2 linked regions of the Struthio camelus genome follow. The protein of the gene in region 1 purifies or fractionates together with the protein of each later gene. This does not show direct contact. Links are inferred from orthologs where the notes say so. Each region holds a gene or a part of one and is shown on either strand. Other genes may lie near its edges.

The links. Proteins that work in one complex are often made in the same cells at the same time.
Region 2: the proteins of CYLD (region 1) and SPATA2L purify together in Homo sapiens (affinity purification with mass spectrometry; 3 studies listed by BioGRID and IntAct, with this or other methods). This does not show direct contact. The link is inferred for Struthio camelus from reciprocal best matches to the Homo sapiens genes CYLD and SPATA2L.

The regions. Positions count from the first base shown.
Region 1 is NC_090951.1:17,365,915-17,373,199, forward strand, and holds the start of CYLD (ubiquitin carboxyl-terminal hydrolase CYLD), read left to right. Parts: upstream 1-4,190; 5' UTR 4,191-4,293; exon of another isoform or gene 4,294-4,364; intron 4,365-4,697; exon of another isoform or gene 4,698-4,715; intron 4,716-7,285. UniProt on the Homo sapiens protein: Deubiquitinase that specifically cleaves 'Lys-63'- and linear 'Met-1'-linked polyubiquitin chains and is involved in NF-kappa-B activation and TNF-alpha-induced necroptosis.
Region 2 is NC_090951.1:1,875,688-1,883,323, reverse strand, and holds the start of SPATA2L (spermatogenesis-associated protein 2-like protein), read right to left. Parts: upstream 3,053-7,636; 5' UTR 2,919-3,052; intron 2,596-2,918; exon of another isoform or gene 2,545-2,595; intron 1,863-2,544; 5' UTR 1,862-1,862; coding exon 1,556-1,861; intron 1,345-1,555; coding exon 280-1,344; 3' UTR 1-279. Other genes in the region: VPS9D1 (VPS9 domain-containing protein 1), read right to left, coding at 3,179-3,254, 3,331-3,435, 3,586-3,673, 3,748-3,956, 4,033-4,162, 5,190-5,680, 5,805-5,890, 6,145-6,232 and 3 more.

The DNA.
Region 1 (7,285 bases):
AAACAGTAGAAAAGGGGAATTTTTACAAAGACAGCATAACATTCTGCGGGATGAAGAAGTGCACTTACAGCGTCAGTTCATCTGACTACTCATAAAACTATGGTAAATTTTAATGGAAAAGCATGTTCTGTCACATTCGCTGAAGGAAAGCACTGACCTTATCTGGCACACAGAAAAAATGCACAGTATTAAAATGCATTCACCAAGCAATATGGAAAGAATGCTCTGCTGCAACATCGGAGCTAGGCGAGGTTGAAACCATAACATTTCAGTGCATAAAAATAGTTGTCATAGGAGTTTTGCTGGGTCCTCCTTGCCAATTTAGGATGGAAGTACTCACTTTAGGAAAGTCTGTTTTAGGAAGAGTGACCCGAAAGTTTATTTCTAACACTTGGTAATCAGCCACCACATGAGCTAGTCTTGCGATGCTATATCAAGGATGCCTATATCAAAAGACCATGTATGAGCTTTTGATGGGTTAAAGGCCAGAAGGGACTGCAGTAGAATACCCTGTCTTGATTTATACCTGATTTTTACTGTTCAGTTATACTCTATGCTTGATTTATACTCTGACAAAAAAATCCACAGCAATGTTCGAGAAATTATCCAGATAGATAATTCTGCTTCCGGTTATCTTTTTTTTGCCTATTTTCTGTGGGGACTACAATAATATAAATCTGACTTGGGCAACACGTTAACATTTTACAGATTACACAAACCCAAAGAGCCACAATATTTAATCATAGAATACAAAGTTGGTATTATCTTAAAAAATGTGAGAGAAACCAGTGCTATATGTAAACTGCAGTTTACTGACAGATTTTTACCATTGTAATGGGCACAGCAAGCTCCTGTCCTGGTGAAAGACAGAAGATTAACAGATAAGTAACGTAAGTGTTACTTATGTTAGTTAGAGTATCATGTCTCAGCTGTGGTTGTAATATGCTTTTTATAAAAAACTCTGCAGCTTCTGCCCCAATAAATACAGCTTCAAGTGACCTAGTAGGGTTTGCGCTGCTTTTCCCTCTCAGGCACCAAACTATGTAACTAATACTTTTTTATTTTATCTCATCATTTGTTGGAACTGTGGATGATGAGGAAAAACAAGAGGAGGCAGAAATACCTATTTGTCCAAGTCCTCTTTTATCAATAGCTAATATTTAGAAAGTACTGTAATGTTGTCTTTGATGCTTCTACAAGAACTTTTCCTCTCATTTTTAATGCAGCTGGATAAATAGCTACTATTTCCATGTTTGAAGTAGCAGAAAAATTCAGCTGTTCTTCATGAATATTCTGCACTTTTGGGATGATGTTGTGATAAATGAATATCATACTACTATCCTGACACAGCACAAAAGTATGTTCAATGTTATCTATATAATGTTTAATTGTAGAATGTTGTGTCATTTGAAAGTGGAATTTGTTTACCATTCTTCCATTACTAGAAAAGACGTTTATCAAGAGTGTGGTCTAAAAAAATAATTTGCAGTTTAATGGCAAATATCTCCTTGTGTTGGTGTTACAGACAGGGTTTTCAACATGAAAGAAACATAACAGGTCCATTTTACACTGCCAAAGCCCTGTTATCACTTTACAATTCCTTTATACTTCTAAAGGAGTATGAAGGAGCTTTAGCATAAATAACAGCCTTGGCCCTTCTTTCATCTGTGGTCTGTCAGTGACACAGAGCTGTAATGCAAGCCCAACGGGTCAATAGCATATTAACTCAGGTTAAATTTTACAAGCATTATTCTGCTGATAGAATAGCAGATTTTCTAAATGGTATATGCTGAAATAATAGAGGGTTAAATACATAATAACATAGACTAGGGAAATACTTTTAAAATATTTGTTTTAGGGCTACTAGGTATAGCATACCTATTCATTCCTAGCTAAAATTTTTATATGTTATTCTTATAACTTGCCTGTCCACCTTTCTTCTTGAATATGATAATAGTATACTTAGGCCAGTATTTGTATGCCAAGTTCCATGTGTAATGTATTTATACCTGGAATACAAACATCGTGAAATTTGGGAAAACAGGATTTACAGCAGACATACTGATGCATTTTGTAGCAGTATTAAAGGCAGCTCTACAAACAGAGGAAAATGCAGCTGCTTTGTATAGATAGCCACCTTGAGGATTAGCGGAGTATAACTGTGTTTTATTGTGTGCCCTTCTGCAAAACAAAGGGAATGTAATGCATAAATCATAGTATCTTTTCAGTGCTATTTATTCTTTAAAAATTAAGTATGACTTTAAAATGGAATTCTACTCTTAAGTGACTAAATAAAATGATTAACATGATTAATATGAATTTATTATTCCATAATAAATGCAAGCACATATTTTCCTCAGGCAAACCAACAAAGTCCTGGTTTCTGACATTCAGACTGTGTCCTTTTCATCTTGCACAGAACTAGCAGTAACGACAGCCTGTGTCACGTCTTCCCATCTTCTCACGGAAAGTATTGGTAGCGCTACACTTCAGCGCTGAAGCAGGCACTCTGCCCGCACGCAGGGCTACACCGCAGCCGCTCGTTCACTATGTCTCTATTAGATTCTGGAGACCCATGGGGAGTAGCATTAACTGGAACAGCCCTTATTTAAGCTAAAGTAGAACTAAACCATGTAAAAACAGATATCAAAGGAATGTTAAGGATGCTAATAAAATAGGAAAGCGTTTACTTGTGTGGCAACATTATCATAACCACCATAGGCATGTGATTGTATGCTTTTTTTTCAAAGATACCTGCTTGTAGAAAGCCCATTTCTCGCAGTACGAGATTTCAGAACAGCGTTTTTAAAATAAATTAATTATTAAACTATTTCACCAGTACTTTAAAGGACAATGTGATTTAAAAAAAGACATTTCTTTTTTAAAAACAAATGTTGTCATCCGCACATACTTCATGTGTGAGTAGAGCCTTTAAACATAACCTTCCTGTTGAGCAGCTCTTCTATTCTGAAGTTCATTCTCTCATTATTTAAGAAGAGCTCACTGAACATGTAAAACACTGATGTTAAGTAGTTAAAATAGCACAGAATTCAGATGACAGTTACATTCAAAAGTAGGTCAGTTAAAGAGGAGCTACATTTGGCTTGTATTAAATTTTCAGTAACACTACTTACACTTCTTGAGAGCAAAAATACTTCAAAACTAGATATTGAGGTAAGACCAAGTTTAATATTCATTAACAGTTTTCTAGGTAACTCAACCACTGAGTAACTCATGAGGCAACATTTAAAGTTATGCCACGAGTTTAGCGAAGTGGTTGGCAAAGCTACATACTGGGGAAACAGCATTTTGTGTAACATTGCAATAACGACGCTCACAATCTTCCCCAGGAAGCACTGCGGTTAATTAAATTAATTCAGTTAATAGTTTTCAACTTGGACAAGTTTCTGATGGTAAACTATGCTGTGGTCAAGCCCAGAGGAGTGTCGTCGACCTTTTCTCTTTCCGCAGGCGCCGTGCTTGCAGGGCTGCCGAACGGGCGGCCCTGTCACCCAGCGCCAAAGGGATTTAGGCCCCCGAAGCCTGCTGGACGGGCGGGACTGATCCGTCCGGCCCCTCAGTCTTCAGCTGCGCTGGCGAGACGCAGGCTGAGAAACGAGATGGATTCTGGCTGAGCTAACGCCTACTTCCTCAGATACTTTCCCCATCACGTAGCACTGATGGGCTTGTACCCCAGCCGCGGGACGGAGAACACGTCGATCAGTTACTCAGACCGGCCCGGCCCGGCCCGGCCCGGCCCTGCGCTCGCCGCCGGCGACCGTTAACGGCCGGCGGAGCCGCCGAGCCCCGCACCCACCCTGCGCCCCCCGGCCGCCCACCACCGCGCGCCGAGGCCTGCCCCGCCGCCAATGGGCGCCCAGCAACACACGCCGGCCGCCCAATCATCCTCCGCGCAGCCCCTGCCGTCCCGCCCCCTCCCGCCTTCGCCCTCTGGGTAGCCAATCCGCGCTCCCGAGAGGGAGCGCTCGGCCAACCGCGCCGTTCTGACCGCCCCTCCCTTCCACCTCCTCCTCTGCGCCTCATGCAAACTTGATGGAGCGGAAACCCCCCCCTCCTCATCCTCGCGTCACTCCGTGGCGCTCTTCGCCAATAGAGCTGCGAGGCGGTGGCGTTCCCGCCTTGTGATTGGCCGTGGGGCGGGCCCGAGGGCCGAAAGGGGCGGGCCCGGCGGGGCAGCAGGGTGCGTTTCGCAGGCCGGAGCGCCGGGCTGCTGTGACGACGATGAGGGAGCGGGGTGCGGGCCGGGCGGCGGGCGCGCCGGGCGCCGCGGCGGTGTGAGGCGGGGCCGGGGAAGTCCCGCCGCCGGGCCGAGCCGAGCCGGGAGCCGGGCCGGCGATGCGGAGGTGAGTGCGGGGCTGCGGCGTCAGGTAGGAGCGAGGCGGCCGCCGGGGCCCGCGGCGGCGGCGAGGGGAGAGGCCCTGTCCGGCGGCGGGCCAGGCCGGGCCGGGCGGCGGGGGCTCCTGCTCCGGCCCCGCCGTGAATTCCCTGCGGTGCCCCGTTAACTCCCGCTGCTCTTGCTTGAAAAGTGACCCGCAGCTTCCCTCTCTGGCTCGTGAACGTTTGGAGAAGGGCGGAAGATTCCGAAAACTGGGGGCGGGGGGAAATCAGCGTTTTCGAAAACTTAGCTTTGCGTTGGGCGTTGTGACTTGCAGGCGAGCTGTGCGTCGCGCTTCACCGTGTCAGGCCGCCGGCAGGTACGTCGGTCTTGTCTTCAGGCGCTTCTGTTGGGTACGGAGCACAGCTAAACCCGGTTTGGTTTTCGTTTCACGGTATGAATGTGTGCAGTTTGTTTTGTGCAGCGGACTTGGTGTCGCGTTGAGAAGAGGCTTGTCGGCAGAACAAGTGCTGATTACACGAACTTGATAAAATCTAGTAAATGTCGCAGTAATCTTTTGGCAATTGATAGTTGTTTTTATTCCTCCTCTAAAATCGATTATTTATATCAAAACGATAAAACCTTGTAAGAGTCAAAATTCATTGGCATTGTTAGAGTTTTTAACTGCACTTTTCTTTTAGAAATTGTGATACCAATGTGTGTTTATTTATATTAAGTAATATTTTAACCTGTTCTTAAAGAATTTCTTTTTTTTTCCCCCCTCTCTTGGCTTGTATTGCAATTATGTAATTCTGTATCTCTTAAGTTGTAGCAGTATTTACTTACTGCTGGTTTACCTTCATCTCTTGGAAAATGTTTTTTTCGGGCTGTTCAAGAAGATTACTTTGCTCTTCAGTTGCTTAAAACTTTTAAGGAGGAAGGTTTATAAGAAACAATTTGAACAGGTTATTGTAGCCTCTTTGTTTTATACTCTGAATCAAGGCTACAGAATTGCATGTTCATATTGAAACCTAATAGCTGGTTCAAACATCTGCTTGGTTCATACAAGGCTATTGCAGGGTAGAAACCAAGTTCTCGTGTTTCAGAACAAACCTCTTCGTGGTGAGATGACCCTCGGCAGCAATGGCAGTGACTCAGGCAGTGCAAAAAAGGAAGCTAGGGAAGTTTTGGAGTCAGGCAGCTTATTGTGGCCTACCTCTGACGCTTTTCAGAATATCCAGTGTTGCAGTCATAGTTCTGTTTTGCCTGTTGTTTCCCGAAATCACTTCGGCACAAAAATGTTTCAGGTAGTAGGTGGAGTAGAAGAACATGAATGAACAGCCTGACGCTTACAGGTCCATGGTGATGGTCATGTACTCCCTGGTACGCAGGAGGCTTGATAGTCGCTGTTATGTAGTGTAGTATAATGATAACTTGGTGCTAACCGTAATTGGTCTAGTTCCCAAATTAATTCGTACTGGGGTCTGATAGTGTTTTCTGGTCTTTGTCTGACAAACGTATACTGTATGTTCAGTGATCTGAATGTACTTTACTCACAGTATAACCAATTCCATTGAAAAAAAAATGTAAAAATATCTTCAAATCAGTGAAGCTTTTTGTGTGTATATATACTTCTGACATATTGATAGAAGTTAGCATCCTTTTCCAGGAAGATTTTCTCCTGTTAAGACAGTGATTTATTTTTTGCATGATTTAAAAAAAAAAAAAAAAAGATTTAAATTTGTAGTTAGACCTACATATACTTGTCTTTGGGAGGTGGAAATTGGTGGTAAATAAGTTCATTAAGGAAGGCTTTTTATATAGCAGTAGTGAACCTTGCTGTTGTAATGGAAAAACTTCTGGTACTACGTTTAGTGAGCACTTAACATCCCTGTGGATAACTAGCATTTTGAAAGGTTGGCCACAGACGTTATGAAGTTATCATTATATCATCTAATTGCAGCTGTTAACATTTTCCCATTGAATTTATTGCTACTAAGCACATTAAGATTATATAACATTGTAGCAGTGGACCAGCAAGTAGACTATAATTTTTTTTTTTAATAGCTGCAAAGAAGACTTCACTTGATGCATTCATCTTTATTTTTGTTTAAGCTCTTGAACAGACTTTCCTATTAATATCCCGCTTCCATACATACTCAGATGTAAATTACTTGTTTCCACAAGTGAACTAGATGAGGCTGTGACCCCTGTAATGTCAGAGGTATTTGAGTTTGCAGTGTGTTGGGAGTTGATTAACTTTGTGGAATGGCTTGCAAAAAGGGAAGTTAAGTGCATCAGCCCTTGAAAGGTGAGAACATAAAAGGCAACTGTGAAGAACAGGACCCTATCTTACCCCCTGTTGCACCCTCCCCAATGATTCTTAATGTCTGAGTAGATGTATGAAAGCTTATGGTCTCTTAAACGTATTCTCTTTACAGGGAAAAAGTAAATAGGTCTGTTGTTGATCTTCTCAACTCGAGTATAAAATATTATTTCAAACTAATACTGATGTTTGTTGTATGGACTTTATCTTTCTTGATGATTATGTGTCTCTAAAATAAAACTGAGGAAGATAAATATTTTAAAACTTGAAAACAGTTTCACAATCTGTTTACTAGATATCTTAATGAGATCTGAAACTGTCCAGATGCTGTGCCTCAGATGTGAATTATTTTGAAAATGCAAATGCTTTAAAACACATTGATTCTACAAGTTGTTGCAGCGTCAGCGTGATGACACCAACACCCATGTGTAACATCTGTGAAGATGAAACTCATGCATATTCAGGACCCGAATGGCTGTATCGTACAAGAGTGGCAGTAGGAGACTTAGCAGTTCAGCATAGAAATATTTGAATTCGTAATGCTTGAAAGATGTAACTTTTCTTAAATTTCAAATCCTCTGAGGCTGTTACTACTTTTTTGGGGGAAAGAATTTTGTTAAATA
Region 2 (7,636 bases), about 15 Mb from region 1:
GGCGCGCCGGAGCCCTTGACCTACTGCCTGAAGAGGGGGATGTGCTGCCCTGCGCTGCCCAGCTGTGGGGTAGCCGAGCTTGGCACCGGCCCTGCTACCCGCAACCGCTTGAAGGGAGGGCTGGGGTTGAGAGGTTCAAGCTGCTCATCCTCAGGCCAAGTAGTGGTTGCCTGGAGACCCGTGAGCTGCCCAGTTCCCTCCCACCTGGGGAAACCCAGCGCAGCCAGCAGCAGTTCCCGTTAATGCTGGCCGCGGCCCAGCCCGTGGCCTTCCCGCCAGCTAGGTCCAGGCGCTGGAGCCGTCGGCCAGCAGCATGTCCACCTCTGTCCTCTGCAGCCAGAGGCGCTGCTGCTTCTCGCTGCGCAGCTCCTGGCCACGGTGGAGGGTCCGGCAGGCCTGCGCGGCCGCGCAGGCGCCGGCGTGGAGCTGCTGGCACGTGGTGCAGCAGTACGAGGGCAGCACGCCGCGGCGCAGGCACGAGTGCAGCTGGTAGCAGGGCAGCTCCGGTGCCTCCCCGCTCGCAGGCCGCGGGGCAGCAGGGGGCAAATCCCCGGGTCTGCCGCTCGCCGGGGGCTGCTGGGGCTCACCCAGGTGGCCGGGCCGGGCCAGGCCCAGCGCAGGGCAGTTTGCTGCCCGGCTCAGGGCAGGGGCAGGAGGGGAGCAGCGGGAGCTCACCTGGGGGCCTTCGCTCCCCGCAGTCACGGCGTCTCGGGAGCCGCCAGCCCCACCGAGCTCCTGCTCCAGGAGGAGGCGAGAGGAGGCGTCTGGATCGGCGTTACCCTCGGAGGGGAGCCGCTCCCGCCCCAGCTCACCGCGTCCCACGAGGTCCCAGCTCCTCCTGGGCGCGTCCTGAGCACCCCGCAGCCCAGCCGGGTCCCTCCCGAGCCTGGCGCCCTGCTCCCGCGGGGTGGGTCCAGGCAGCGGCGAGGGGACTGCATCCTGCCGGCCTCCCGCGGGGCCAGCGTCCTCGGGGCCCACCGGCGGCTCCCGGTACAGATCCACGCAGTCGCTGCAGCCGGCCCCGGCGTCGCGCTGCAGCGCCAGTCGCCGCAGCGCCTCCACGCAGGCCTCCGTGCCGCCGGCGAGCTGCCGCGCCTCGAGCAGGTCTTGGGCGCGCACGCGGCGCGGCCGCAGCCGCAGCACCACCTCCACCAGGATCTCGCACTCCAGCCGGCAGGCGAAGAAGCCACAGGCGGCGGCGACGAGCTCGGGCCCCGGGGGCGGCCGGGAGACGGCGAGGTGGTGGTCGTCCCTCCTCACGTAGCCCAGGCGGCCGAAGCTCCGCGCCAGGTCGGCCTCGGGGAGCGCCGCTCGCAGCCGGTGCACGTACGTCCCCGAGAAGGTCTGCAAGGAGAGCGCGGGCACGGCTGCAGCGCCCGCCCCGGCTCCCTCCTAATGCCCCACAGCCGCCCGCGAGCCACAAGTGTGGGCAGCTCAGCCGGCCCCAACCCCGCCGCCAGCGACTCCCGGGCGTCCCCCCGGGGCTCCTCCTGCCCGGGCACCCCGGCACGAGCCAGCCCCGACCCAGCCACGCGGCCAGCACCGGGCTCCCCACCTTGACGGTGCCGAACTCCTTGCGCCAGGGGAAGAGGTAGAGGTTGATGGCCGCCAGCTCCAGCACCTCGAAGGCGCCGGCCAGGCCCCGGAGCGCCTGCACCAGGTCGCGGCGGCCCCGCAGGCCGCTGGCCAGGAGGGCCGCGGCGTCGTCCTGCAGGGCCCGGAGCAGCGCCGGGTCGTCCCGCAGGCGCTGCCGGAGCAGCTCCCCGAAGGCGGCGTCGGAGCAGGCCCCGGCGCGGCCCCGCCGCAAGTCCCGCTCCAGGCAGCGCCGGTACTCCTGCCGCAGCGCCGCGCCGGAGCACATCCTGCGGGAGGCAGCGGCCTCAGCCTGGCCGGCCTCCCCCCTGGGCCTGCCACGGCCTCAGCACCCTGCACCCAGGCCCGGCTCCCTCCTCCTGCCCGTGGTCTCAGCACCCTGCACCCAGACCTGGCTCCCTCCTCCTGCCCGTGACCTCAGCACCCTGATCCTGTCCATAGCCCGGGCACCCTGCAGCTGGCCCAGCATCCTGCACCTGGCCATAGTCTCGCACCCAGACCCAGCACCCTGCTCCCATCCACCGACTCAGCACCCTGCTCCCAGGCCCACCACCCTGCACCTGGCCTCAGCATCCTGCGCCCAGACATAGCCTAGCACCCTGAGCACAAGCCTGCCACCCTGCTCCCACCTATGGGCTCAGCACCCTGCGCTCAGGCCCGCCACCCTCCTCCTGCCTGTGCCCTCAGCACCCTGCACCCTCCTCCCGCCTATGGGCTCAGCACCCTGCACCCGGGCCCGGCTCCCTCCTCCTGCCCGTGCCCTCAGCACCCTGCACCCAGGCCAGGCTCCCGGGCCTGTCCCCCGCGCCCCGCGCTCAGCGCCCAGCCCCGACCGCGGCCCCTCCGCGGGACCCCTCCCCGGCCCCGGCGGCGCGGGGACCCGGGGGATCCCCCAGCAGGGGGCGTGGCCTGAACCCCCAGCAGGGGGCGTGGCCCGGGCCCCCCCCTCACCTGCCGCCCCGGCTCCCCGCGGGGCCCCAGCGGCGCCCCTTCCGCCTCTCCCGCGCCCCGCCCCGCCCCCTTCGGGCCGTGACGTGTGCGGGGCGGTTCCCGCCGCCACGCCCCCTCCGAGGGGCGGGGCCAACCCCGGCCCGCCCACCGCAACCCCCCCCAACTCGCGCCGACAGCGCCACCCCGCGGGCGGGAGGAGCAGCGGCGCCCCCGGGGCACCGGCCCCGGGGCAACCGGGCAGGCAACGACCGGGCCCCGGGGAGGGCGGGGGGCAGCGGGGCTGGGGCTCCCCCACCCCCGGGCCCCGGGGCAGCCCGCGCCGGCCGGAGCCCCGAGCGCCGCAGGCGGCAGCAGCGGAGGCGGCGGGCAGGCACCTTTATTAGCCGCTGCCCCCCGCCGCGGCGGCACCCGGGGGGGCTCAGCCCCGGGGCCCCTCCGGTGTTTCGCCGCGTCCTCCGGCCCCCGGCGGCTTCCCCCACCCCGGCAGTTCCAGTCCGTCCGCGCGGCCCCGCGGGACCCTCGGCAACGTCGGCGGCGCCGGGAAGCGCCGGGAGCCCAGCGGCACCCGCCCCGTCCGTCCGTCCGTCCGTCCTTCCGTCCGGCTTCGCCGAGGGGTGGCCGGGCTGCCGGCTGCTCAGCGCAGCGACTCCACGTAGGACAGGGCGCTCTGCAGCGAGGTCAGGCAGTACCCCTCCTCGCCGATGAGGTACCTGCGGCAGAGGGGCGCGCCGGCGTCACGGCCAGCGCCCGCGCGCCCGGCTCCCGCGGGGCCCCGGCGGCACCTACCCCTCGTGGATGAACTCCTCCAGGGCCGCGCACTCGGACACCAGCTGGGGCAGCCCGCTCTGCAGCACCACGTAGGACAGGATGGGCAGCAGGTCGTCCGCCCCGCTGCCGGCAACGGCATCCGTGAGCCCCGGCGCGCCGGCAGGGCAGGCAGCCTCGGGGCGCTGCCCAGCGGGGAGCGAAGCCCGTCGCCGCAGCCCCCGCTCGGCGCAGCTGCGGGGCCGCGCGTGCCCGCGCCGGCCGGGCCGTACTCACATGGCGGCGGCGGCGGCGGGGGGGGGCCGGCTGTCCCGGGCGCCGCAGTACTCCTCCGCGCACTCGCAGATGACGCGCAGGGCTCGCACTGGGGGCGCAGCACGGCCGTGAGGTTGGGCCCCGCGCCCGCCCCGCGCGCCCCGCGCGCCCCCAGCCACCCACCGATGCACTCCAGCTTCCTCTGGGGACACGTCTCCAGCGGGATGAGGCGCAAGTCCTCCACGGCGGAGCCGTACGCGGGGCCGCCGCCTGCCCGCGCCCCGGCCGCCGGCGGGAAGAGCCGGGGCGACAGGCCCAGCTCGGCGGGGCCGGCGCTGCGGTGCCGCTCCATGCTCCTGGCCAGGGCCGCTTCGCGGGGCCGGTGCACGCTCCTGCGGGCAGGCGAGGCTGCGGGCAGGTGGGGGCCGGGCGCCGCCGCCGCCTCCGGCCCAGCCCCGAGCGCCCTACCTGTACAGCGCCAGCAGCGGAGCCCACAGCGGGGGGAAGAAGGCCTCCTCGATGCAGGCCAGGCACTGCTCCTTGCAGGGCGCCGCGCTGAGCCCCTCGAAGGCCAGCAGGCTCAGGGACAGCAGCCTGTCTGGGAAGGGCCGAGTTACGCAGCGCGCTCAGCCGGGGCTGCGCGCCGGCCGGACCGCCCCTGTCCTCCCCGGCCGGCCCCGCATCCTCACCCCGCCGCCCTGCCCCAGGCACCCTGCATCCCTGCCCCGCATCCTCACCCCATTTTCCTGCCCCACGTCCTTGCTCCAGGCACCCCGCATCCCTGCCCCGCATCCTCACCCCATGTCCCTGCCCCCTGTCCCTGCCTCAGGCACCCCGCATCCCTGCCCTGCATCCTCGTCCCCTGTGCCCGCCCCACGTCCCTGCCCCACAGCCCTGCCCCAGGCGCCCCACATCCCTGCCCTGCATCCTCGTCCCCTGTCCCTGCCCCTTGGCCCTGCCCCATGGCCCTGCCCCAGGCACCTCACATCCCTGCCCCAGGCACCCTGCATCCCTACCCCACGTCCCTGCCTTAGGCACCTCGCATCCCTGCCCCACATCCCTGCCACAGCTGCCCCACGTCCCTGCCCCAGGCACCTCGCATCCCTGTCCCATGTCCCTGCCCCAGGTGCCCCACATCCCTGCCCTAGGCACCCTGCATCCCTGCCTCATGTCCCTGCCCTAGGCACCTCGCATCCCTGCCCCACGTCCCTGCCCCATGTCCCTGCCCCAAGTATCTCACACCCCTGCCCCATGCCTCTGCCCTAGGCACCTCACATCCCTGCCCTACATCCCTGCCCCAGCCGCCCTGCAGCCCTGCCCTGTGTCCCTGGCCAGCCGCCCCAGGTCCCTGCCCCACATCCCTGCCCCAGTTGCCCCAGGTCCCTGCCCCAGTCCCCCCCCAGGTCCCCACAATTTGGCACAGCCTGCAGCAGCCCCACACCCAGGCTCTGCCTGCGGGCTCCCTCTCTGCCCCACACCCCTGGGTGACGGAGGCACCGCGTCCAGGGCCATTGCCCAGCCCCTGCCTCACCCTGGCCGAGATGTCTGGATCCCCCCACCGCCGGAGGGCAGAGCCCTGCCCCGACCCCCTGCCCCGGCGCCCCGGCCCAGCGGCCGCCGCTCACCGATGGCGTTGTGGATGTCCCGCACGACGCCCTTCAGCTGCTCCTGCAGCGACGCCTTCTGCGCGGGGCCGGCCGGGGGCTCCCCCGCGCGCCAGCCCTCGGGCGACGCCAGGAACCGCTCCAGGTCCTCAAAGGAGCTCTCCCGGGGGGGCGGGGGGCTGGCTGCCCCTGCTGGGGGCCCGGCCGGCCCCGGGGAGCCGCCCTCGAGCCCGCGCCCGTCGGCCAGGGGCGAGCTGGACAGGCTGTGCCGCAGGCCGGCCGGGCCGTGCTCCGGCACCGAGAACATGCAGTGCAGGCTGCGGGAGGCTCGGAGCCGCCGGCCCCCGGGCTCCGGGGCCAGCAGGGCCCCGGCGTCCAGCGAGAGGAAGGAGAGGCCGGTGGGGGAGGCGGGGGCGGCGTCGGCAGCGCCCTGGCTGACGGCCGGGTAGAGCCGGCCATACACCGCGCACTGCAGCTTCCGCAGGAGCTGGGCAATGGGGTGCTCGGGGAAGCTGCAAGCAGAGGGAAGGGGCTGCTGACGGAGGCGAGGGGCGGGCAGGCGCCAGGAGGCATTGGCAAGCAGCCGCGGCCCCCTCCCTCCCTCCCAGCCCGGCCCCTTCCCAGCCCAGGCGCTACCTGAGGAGGCAGGAGAAGAGCCCCGCCACCACGGAGAGATCCGCCGGGCTCCGCTTCAGCTTGGCCTTCCACTGCCGCGGCCAGTCCTGGGAGAGCGCCCGCGGGCGGATGAGACGGGACCCCGGGGCCGGGACGGCACCGCGTCCTGCTCCCCCCGGACCCGGGGACGGCAGGCATCCTGCCCCCAGCAGCACACGGGGACAGTAGGCGTCCTGCTGCCAGGGCCAGGCATCCCTTCCCCAGGCAAGGGCATCCTGCCCCCCCAGGCAGCATCCCACCCCCAGGATAAGGCTTCCCGGGCCAGTGGGGCCGGAGGCAGCAGCCCCCGGAGCGCACTCACGTGGTCCTGCTCGTACTCGAGGACGGCGGCGTAGAGGGCTCTCTGCTCCTGCTCCTCGGGGGTGAGGGCCACGCTGCCGGAGAACCTCCTGCCCGGGCAGCAGCGGCGGTGGGCAGCGGGGGTCTGCTGGGCGGCGCCACCAGCACCCCCCTCCAGGCACAGGGACACGAGGTCCCTGCGCCTGCGGGGTCCCCCTGCCGCGACGCCCCGGCCCCGCTCACCTGTTGGCAGCCTCCTGCAGCCGCAGCCGCCGCTCCTCCATTTTCCGCTGCAGCTGGGCCACGGCAGAGTCAAGGCTCCAGAGCCACCTGCGTGCCACCGCCGCCACCACGGCACGGGGCCAGCCCGCTCGCCCGCCACCCCGCACGGCCAGCCCCGGCGTCTCCTCCCGCGGCCCGGGGGTCCCTGACGGCCCGCCACCATGGCGAGCATGGCTGGAGCCCCTGCGGGACCCCCACGCCGGCCCGGGGAGAGCTGGGCAGGAGCCTTCCAGCCTCTGCTTGTCCAGGCTCAGCCACCGCCTCCTACCGGGCAGGAGCCAGGATCTGCCCTTCTCCCACCCCGTTTCCCCCCAAGGCAGCCCGTAACAGCAGATCCCAAAAGCGCGTTTTGGATCAGCGCAGCCCAGGGACGAGGCACAGGTGTCCGCAGCAGCGCACGGGGCTACGAAACCCGGGCTACGCGCAGGCCCAGAGGCGCTGGGGCTGCCCGCAGGCTCGGGGCTGCTCCGGCCTGGCTGCATCGATGCTCCCTGCAGAGCAGGGGCCCAGCAGAGCCGCACGGCCCACGCTCAGAGCTCTTCGAACGGGAAGGATACGGTCTCCTCCCGGGCCTTGGCGATCACCAGGTTCTCCATCATCTGCCGCTGGAGGGACAGCGTCTGCGGAGCAGAGCGCGTGTTGGTGACGCCTGCCAAAAGCCCACGGCCACCCGTGCCACAGCGGGAGCATGCGGACAGGCAGGCAGCTCGGGGAACTCCCAGGCACCTCGCGGGACCCTCTGCTCCCTCCCAGCCCAGCCCGGGGTCCATCGCGCCTGCATGCTCCCGCCCCACCTCCCTGCCGCTGCAGGAGCCCTTTCCCTTCCCAGGCCCAGAGCCACCCCAGCAGGGCCAGGGCCTCTCCAGGGCCGCTTGGGCCCTGCAACACCCGACGCGACTCTGGCCGAGGCCCCGGGGAGGGACTGGGGGGGTTGGGAGCTGCCCGGCTCCGTGCCCAGCCCGTGCAGAGCCCCAGCCCTCGGCGCTCCCCACTTGCCAGGGAGGTCTTCTGCAGGGCCTGGCGGGGGTTCAGCCGCGCCACCCGGGCCTCGTAGGCAGCCTTCAGCTTCTGGTTCTGCAGAGACGCCTCCTCCAGCGGCGTCAGCTCCCTGCCGGCAACGAGCCCTGAGCGCCTTCCCGGGGCGGCCGGGAGGTACGCAAACGGCGGGCGCGCGCCACGGGGCCCTTGGGCGCTCAGCACAGGCGCCCAGCACCCTGCCGAGGACCGGACGC